2 linked regions of the Mus musculus genome follow. The protein of the gene in region 2 purifies or fractionates together with the protein of the main gene of each other region. This does not show direct contact. Links are inferred from orthologs where the notes say so. Each region holds a gene or a part of one and is shown on either strand. Other genes may lie near its edges. The genes, in order: Parva and Rsu1.

The links.
Region 1: the proteins of Rsu1 (region 2) and Parva purify together in Homo sapiens (affinity purification with mass spectrometry; 3 studies listed by BioGRID and IntAct, counting the BioPlex papers as one, with this or other methods). This does not show direct contact. The link is inferred for Mus musculus from reciprocal best matches to the Homo sapiens genes RSU1 and PARVA.

The regions. Positions count from the first base shown.
Region 1 is NC_000073.6:112,426,138-112,430,545, reverse strand, and holds the start of Parva (alpha-parvin), read right to left. Parts: upstream 2,841-4,408; 5' UTR 2,582-2,840; coding exon 2,446-2,581; intron 1-2,445. UniProt on the Homo sapiens protein: Plays a role in sarcomere organization and in smooth muscle cell contraction. Required for normal development of the embryonic cardiovascular system, and for normal septation of the heart outflow tract.
Region 2 is NC_000068.7:13,268,316-13,272,731, reverse strand, and holds the start of Rsu1 (ras suppressor protein 1), read left to right. Parts: upstream 1-1,316; 5' UTR 1,317-1,532; intron 1,533-1,709; 5' UTR 1,710-1,712; coding exon 1,713-1,821; intron 1,822-4,416. UniProt on the Homo sapiens protein: Potentially plays a role in the Ras signal transduction pathway. Capable of suppressing v-Ras transformation in vitro.

The sequences.
Region 1 (4,408 bases), on a different chromosome or scaffold from region 2:
GAGATGTTGGGAGCCGCGCCCACATTCGCCGTTACAAGATGGCGCTGACAGCTGTGTTCTAAGTGGTAAACAAATAATCTGCGCATATGCCGAGGGTGGTTCTCCACTCCATGTGCTCTGCCTTCCCCGTGACGTCAACTCGGCCGATGGGCTGCAGCCAATCAGGGAGTGACACGTCCTAGGCGAAATATAACTCTCCTAAAAGAGGGACGGGTTTCGTTTTCTCTCTCTCTTGCTTCTTACACTCCTGCTCCTGAAGATGTAAGCAATAAAGTTTTGCCGCAGAAGATTCTGGTTTGTTGCGTCTTTCCTGGCCGGTCGTGAGAACGCGTCTAATAACAGGTCAACGTCACATCAGACTCCAAGAAAGTAGTGGACACACACTGGTAAACTTTGGACCAATAAAAACGTTTCTCAAAGGTGCTAGCAGTGGGATGGGCACTGCAGGCCAGTTATGAGCTTCAGTAATTCTAAACTGCCATCTGTCAGATGGATGAGCCCATACCAGAAACACAAGCTAGAAAAAGGACTTCCAAGCTAGGATCTCATGATCATTTGCCCACACTACAACAATTAATGGTTTACCAGCACACCTGCCCACTATTTTTGCGTCTGTGGTATCAGAGACCTATGGCCAACTGTGGTTGCAAAATACTGAATGAAAAAAATTTCAGAAATAATTCCTAAGTTGCACACCATTCTGATTAGCATGATGAGATTTTGCTTCACTCCAAACCTTCCTTCATTCCTGGGATAGGAATCCTATGGATACACATTGTATACGCAGCCTTGGTAACTTAGTAGCCATCTTTGTTATTGGCTCAAGTATCAGCCTGACTGTCTCAGCACTGCAATGCCTGTAATACTAAGTACTATCTGTTGTTATTATTACCATTATTGTGTGTGCATGATGCATGTATGTGGGTATTCTGGCACAGGTCAGAGGTCAACTTTGTGGAGTCAGCTCTTTTCTTCTACCTTACATAGGATCTAAATCCCCAGTCTGGAGTGGCACGTGCCTTTACCCACTTAGCCATCTCAGCCATGTTAACCTCTTACTGTGCCTAACATACAGGTTAAACTTTACCATATACATGTCCAGGGAAAAGCACACTATATCAGGCTCAGAAGAGCTCATAGTATTGGCCATTCGATGAGCATCCTGGAGTCATTCTGTTAGAAATAAGGGGGGACTAGGTACAACAACCACTTGGGGGTGAGGTGATTTTTAGATTCATGCCACAATCTAGACAACAGACACTTAGCTCATGCACTGAGTTTGCTAATTAAACACCAAAGTGCTTTCCATACTTCAGGAGACTAAGAACATGAGACATTTCCTAGTTCATCACCTCAGACCTACTAAAGTAAACTCCTGAAATGATCTGGAGACTTGGGCTAGAAACACCGTGTCGGTAAAACACTTGCTTAACATCAGAGTCCCTAAGATCAACCCCCAGTACCACAGAAAAGAACAATCAATTAACACCAAGCTGGGCAGGCCTGTAATCCCAAATACTTTGGAAGCCGAGGCAGGAGGACCACAAAGTTCTGCCTGGGCTACACAAGACTAAGCACAAGGCTAAAGAGTCTCAAAAGAGAAAGAATAAGACCGCGGTGCTCACGCAGTAGACCTAAGGCCCTCTAAATCCAATCCCAGCCATGCCAAAGAGGAAAACATTTTAAACCCCTTTTTATTCACACACCTATCGCCACATTGATTTTTAGAATCATCACTGCATTTCCTACGCCCAAATGTGAGTTGTAAATTCTGCCTACGGGGGAAAAAGTACTTTCCACAGAAACTATTCTGGAAACAAAAAATGAGATTGCTGCAATTCACTGTGGTGGGAAAAAGAAATCTTTTCTTTTTCTTTAAATAAAACTTGGAATGGAATGTCCAGGTTCACAGCAGGGTCACAGTCCTTAGGTGTAGTGAGTTTATCTCACCATTCCTCAATCCCCCCCCCCCCAACTTCGGCACGTTCTTCTCTCAGTCAGTCAACTAACATTTTATACAGATCATCAAAGTCCACACAAGTCCAGGGAGCCCGCGAGAGATCCAAGGAGGCCATTGCAGCTGCAGCAAAAGACCTGAAGGCGCCCAGGAAACGACGGCGCAACAGACCAATGAAGGCTGAGAGCGGGGAATGACGGCGCCCGAGAAAACTTTCCAGCAGAAACTTGGCAAATGCCAGTCCTCGGGCGCGCAGAGGGCGGGGACAGCGGCCTAGGGGAGAGCACAGGGGACCGGCTGGGCCTGGGCTCTGGGACAACAGCCACCCAAAGCCTGGGCTCCGCCTGTGGACCAGAGATGACACCGACCCGGTTAGGGCTTTGGAGGCGACATGGGGACACTGAGAGGCGCGCCCAGGCACTGCCAGGGGGGTCTCCCACTTCCAGGCTCCCGATCCCTGCAGCGCCCACGGCCTCGGCTGTTCCTACCTTCTTTGGCTTTCTTCCTCCGGGCCAGCGTCCCTCCGAGTTTCCCCAAGAACGAGTCATCCTTCTTGCGGGACGGAGGCGACTTGGGAGTGGGTGATTTGGGGACCAAGGGCGACTTCTGTGGGGATGTGGCCATGGCGGCTGGACGCGGAGCTGGAGCTGGGCGGCCGCGGCGGGCGGCGGCGGGACTGAGGCTGCGGCTTTCCAAACGGAAGCGGAATTATTCCAGGCATTTGAGGCAGCTCGCTCGCCTTTCCCGTCCCTCGCTCCCTCCCTCGCGCCGCCCTCCGCCCTGCGAGGAGCTGCTGCGCCTGGGGCCCCCGTGCCCAGGGCTGCCCTGGCTACGAGGATGCCCTGGCTTGCCGCTTGCTGGGGGCTATAGACGCAGGGGCAAGTGCATGCTAGGGGGACGTGAGGTCTTATCTGGAGCTTGGAAGCCTTCACTTCTCTGCTTTGCATACACACACACACACACACACACACACACACACACACACACACACGCGTCAGAATCCGCAGGGAATCAGCCCTGTGACCCTATTTCCCAGCTGCTGCGGTCTCTTGCTCTACCTCCTGCATGGATGGGTTCCTATACTGTTAGTACTTTTGTCTCACAAAGAAGTCAAGGATCTAAAATGGGCTCTGGTCCCAACAGACTTCCCGTTCAACTTCTGCATGAATCTGCGGACTTCCACCTTCTCCTGTCCACACTCAAACAAAGCTGGAAGTCCACGACGGCAGACGCTCATCTATCTAGCCAAGAGCAATAGAATTAGTTCCAGACTCTCTTGACCTGACGCTGGAGTCACACCAGGCAGTTTTAAAGATTCATGCTGGAGATGTTTAGGAGTCCTGCGTACTTTTACTGTGCTTCTTCGTCCTAAGTTGTGGCTTGACCATCTCTTTCCCATTCTTTCAGGATACCTTGGTCATACACCAGCGGGAAGAGTTACATAACTGTTTCCACAGCTCTTTCCGTGATGGGGCATAAACAAATATCTATGTCTCCTTCCCAGAGCACCACCACCAAATTACCTTTTCCCTGAAATCAAGCTTGGGATCCAATGAGTTTATCAGACTTACAGAGCCTGGGGAAGGAGTCACCTACAGGAATGTGGGCGGGCCCCAAAGCAGCTGCACTACTGCAAATTTCTACCCCAGGGCGGATGACTTCCCCTAACTGTCTAAATGGAATCCCCTTCAGCTAATCTTCAACAGACTACTACTCTAACACCTCCAGTGACCACGTGGAATTAGGACAGAATGACCTAGTAGGGTTACAAGAGGGAGTGGCCAGAATTGAGATGAAAATTCAGTGACTGTCCCTGCTCCATCCTTCTATAAGGGAACATCAATAAACAGGGTCGGTCTCTAGGTCAGGAGTCGAGTGGGAAGGGAGGTCGCAAGTTCTCACATCTGCTTAGATGAAGATGGTGGCTGTCTTGCTCTGAGGAGGGCTTTCCACATGTACACTACACACACTGATGGAATCTGACTGAACCTCTGACTCAGAGGGAGCAAGATTTTGAACTGAGCTGGAGAAATCGGTCCAGCAGTTGGGCACTAGGTTGTGATCTAGTGCCCAGCTAGGCAGCAGTGTCTGTTCTCAGCCAGAGGCACGTGTTGATGAGTGACATGCATGTTGGTGATGAGAATGTGTGTCTTAACTTCCTTCCTATTGTTCTGATAAATCCCAGAACCGGAAGCAACCTAGAGAGGAGAGGGTTTATTTTACCTGTAAGGTAGCAGTCCATCACGGAGGGAAGTCAAGGCAGGAGTCTGGAGGCAGAAATCGGAAGCAGAGACCATGGAGAAATACTGCTTACTGCCTTGCCTCTCCTGGATTCCTCAGTTTGCTTTATTATACAACACAGGACCACCTGCCCAGGGGTGGCACCATGCATAGTGAGCTGGGCCCTTCCATAGCAATCATTAATCAAGAAGATGCCTCTCGGACTTGCCA
Region 2 (4,416 bases):
CACTAATAAATATTGATGCTTTGGGCTTAGAGGGCTCACAGAAACTGAAACTGCATCCACAGCTTGTATGAGACTGTGCTAGATCAGTGCTCTCAGCAAATGTCTAGCTTAAGAAGTGATGAGGCAAGCCGGGCGTGGTGGCACATGCCTTTAATCCCAGCACTTGGGAGGCAGAAGCAGGCGGATTTCTGAGTTCGAGGCCAGCCTGGTCTACAGAGTGAGTTCCAGGACAGCCAGGACTATACAGAGAAACCCTGTCTCGAAAAACCAAAAAAAAAAAAAAAAAAAAAAGTGATGAGGCCTGGACAATGCAAGTTGCCTGCATTGCAAGTATCATCGTTTCATCTGAAGTGTGTTTAAGGAGAAATTTCTGCTTTCAAATTCAAAGTGCCGAATCTTTTTCTAGTACCTGCTTGGCTCATTGCTTATATATGTGTGTCTAAACTTCTGCACGTCTGTCTGACTGCTTATCTGTCATGTACCTAATGCCAGAGGAATAATTCTGGAATGATTTCCTATTTAATAGTGTGAAATTGTCACTAAGATTAAGTTTTTTACTGGGTCATCAAGATCTAGTCATTAGGAGGTAGAACCCAGAGGGTCAGCAGAAAGTTTATCTATCTATCTATCTATCTATCTATCTATCTATCTATCCATCCATTCTATTTGAAGAAAGTGGGAGAGTTCTAAGAGCCAAGATTTCACGGTTCATGGGTGTAAACACCAACTCAGACTTCTGACATAGTCGTGGTTTACTGTTAGCATCTAACCCTAAGGGAGATAGATTCCAGTTCCCAAGACCAAAAGGAACGGAGCAAAACAGTTAGATACAGAAACCTGTGAGTTACCAGCTGAGGACATAAGTTTCGGGCGGAATCTTTGTCTTCAGAATCTTTACCATAATCCAGACCTCATACCTCCACCAGGTCTGCGACAGCCAGGGGCACACGAGGGACTCACGGTAACAACTCTCCGTGGGAGGGGACCGGCAACGAAAGACGCAGGACAAAAGAGAGTACCTGACTTGTGGATTTCTCAGGACGGAACTCCAAATCCCTCAACACAAGCTGCATTCTAAGAGTCTACCTCGGTACCAGCGACCAGCTTAGAATCCCCTGCTTCCGCCCACAGAACTTTGTCCTTCAGCTAGCTTACTGAGCATGCGCAGAATCTAGATCACATGCACTTGCTGAGTCCAATTCAAGTTCCAAACTCAAGAAGATGGGCGTTCCTCAGCGTAGGGCGGAGTCTCTGAGACTAAAACGTGTACGATTGGTCCGCCTCGGGGTCCACTTTCTTCAGTGGGCAGAGCCTCGCCTGGAGCCACAGCTGGGAAACAGTTCTCCTAATTTGGGAAGTGTCAGGCCGGGAGGGGCGTGGGGTTGGCCGGATTTTGTGTGCGCCTGCGCGATCGCTGGGACAGGGTGTGTTCCTGCTGCGGGATCCTGTTTTCGGCTGATCCAGTTCATCGCTCTCCACCCGAGTTTCCCTTGCAGGTCCCTAATCACACCCACCAGGTGTTGCTCGCTGCGGTGAGTGTGCGGGGTCCAAGTCCTCCATTAAGGACTCCATGGTGATACCCATTCTCCCCTAGGCAGCCCTGGAGAATTCAGCCTGGGCCTCTGCTCCTTTCCTGCCTTAACCTGCCCCACAACCCCCAGGCTCCCATTTTTGCCATCATCCACGTGCTTTGTTGTCCTTTGCTACAGAACATGTCCAAGTCACTGAAGAAGCTGGTGGAGGAGAGCAGGGAGAAGAACCAGCCGGAAGTGGACATGAGTGACAGGGGTATCTCCAGTATGTTGGATGTCAACGGCTTGTGTAAGTTCTCTTGGACAGTTGCTAAGTTTGTAAGTAACTGCTCTCTTGGGAGGCGAGTTTCGGAAGCCTGCCATTCCACCTTTGCTCGTCACTTGGTCACTTGTCAGGAGCTTGCAAACCACAGTTAGTTCTGCTGGGACTGGTGAACCAGATGAGAACGTCACACGAGGTGTGCTGCAGTTCCTTCTCAGCGGGTGAGGGAGCTTCATAGCTTTGAAGTCCATCTTCCATGTAGTGTCCCAAGTAGCCATTTTTGTTTGTAATTTGGAAGTCACGTTTTACTCTATGAATCATGAGCTGGTGGTACTCAAAAATTACATGCATAGTAAGAATTCTTGTGCCAGTAGTATTTTCAACATTTTCCTTCATTACGTATTCCTGGGTCATTCTCCCATTTGTGTTCAGGCATTGCTCAATCTTGTGATCCAAGCTCAGCACCCGTTTAATCAGGGTGTTGCTTTCAGCTGTGAACTTATATGACTCTTACTTTATTGTTTTTTTCTCATCTGTAAAACCAGACAGGGAACTCAGTACAAGTGGGAATGGTCATAAACTCCATTGCCTGTGCCCTTCTCATGGGCATCTCCTCTTCTCCACATGGAGACGGTTATCCCCATGTGTAAATGCTGCATCACTATCGCCAGATTTTGTGTTGAGAATTCTAGTGTCCACTTTTTCATGATCTTTAAATTCTGCAAACTAATTCTGGTCTTTGAAAACACTTTTTAAGTAAGTCACCACGCTTCTGTAGGTTCCTGTGACTTCATTTGGATCCTCTGAGAGCTTAACTGTTGAGAGTGGTACCCCCACATTCCTCAGCGGGACATACAAGGTCTGATTCTGATCATAAACCGATCCCTTCCATGCATTCATTCCAAGCGATGTTGAATAAGCTCCACTGAGTGACCCTGAGCAGCCAGATCTTCCTGACTTGCAAGTCTGTTGTCTCCTTATCTATATGCCTTTCCACCTGACGTCCCTTAACTTAACTGCCAAGAGTCAGCTCAGACATCATAGCCTATGAAAAACGTTCTCTTTCTATCTTCCTGTGTGAACCCACCTTTCTACAAGGCACAGATTGCATAGCCTTTAATTAATTAATTTTTTAAAAAAGATTTATTTATTTCATATGTGAGTACACGGTTGCTCTCCTCAGAGACACCACAAGAGGGCTTCCATTACAGATGGTTGTGAGCCACCATGTGGTTGCTGGGAATTGAACTCAGGACTTCTGGAAGACCAGCCAGTGATCCTAACCGCTGAGCCATTTCTCCAGTCCAATTAATTTATTTTTAATCCAGTAGACTCTCTTCCTCATTCGAATACCAAGAGAATATGCAATGCCATGCTTGTGTTCTTGAGAATAGTGTCTGGAACACAGTCGGCACTCTAAATGTTGATAGGAGTCAGAGTAGGATGTTAGAACATCAACCAGAGGGGAGCTGTACAGAGACCTTAAAGTCAGTGGATAGCTTCCTAGGCATGAAGACTCTTGTCTGTTCTTGGAGTACAGGCTGGGATGGATGTTGACACATTAAGGCCAAAGTGGACTGCAGACATCTAGCTATCATGAAGAGTCCTGCTTTGACATACCCTTAGCATCTTGATAACTTCTTGGTTTGGGTGACATGTGTTGGTCTCTTGCAGTAAGAATGGGTTTGTGGTGATTTTTGACACTGAAGTGTCTGCCGAGGATCTAGACACTCCCATTGCTTTGGCTTTATTTCGGTTTCCACTGCTGTAAAGGAAGAAGAGGCTAAACAGAGAGCAGGGGACCAGGTGCATCTGCGCCCTGAACAGCACCTAGTTCTCTGCCTGCTGCATGCCTCCCTATGGGCTGAAGCCTGAGCCCACAGTGGTCTGAGCCATTTGTATCATTCTGGAAGATGAAGACCCATGTAATATTAACAAATGACAAGAGTAGCTCTGCTATTTCAGTTCAGCTCCATTATCTCTTTGAAGCCTTGGCTCTTACTACAGGGGAAAAGATAGCCACTTGCTTCCTGAAGGGGAAAAAAAACTGCTTCTGGTCTAATACTGGGGGATAAAAAGCAAGGTCATTTCTGTAGTTGCTCAAACCAGAAACCAAGAGACAACATTGGTATTTCTTGGAAAGATCAGCGGAAGTTTAAAAATCTCACTCCCTCTGCTGGTGTTGGCTTAAGGAAGGGCTGGGTGTATTGAGTCCTTGCTGTCAGGACTCCTAAGAACCTGGAAGACTGTAGAGTGTTCACTGGAAGCCTGACCCTAAACTGGCTTTATCAGCCACTCACTGGATTGGAGCTCAGTGGTGGAGCGTTTGTGTAGAACATGTGCAGTTCTGGGGTTCATCTCAAACACAACACAAATAAATTTAAAACAGCAATCAGTTGGCATCCAATGTGGGTGCTATATGATAAAATTACCTCGAGTATTGTGTAAGAATTCTCTTCTTCTCTTCTCTTCTCTTCTCTTCTCTTCTCTTCTCTTCTCTTTTGCTTAGGTTTATCTGCAGCTATGACATTTAGAATGCAAGCATCCTGATTAAACACAGGAAACCATTAACTTACATGCAGAGAGAATGACTGTGTCTTGTACCCTAAGCTTTCCTTTTTT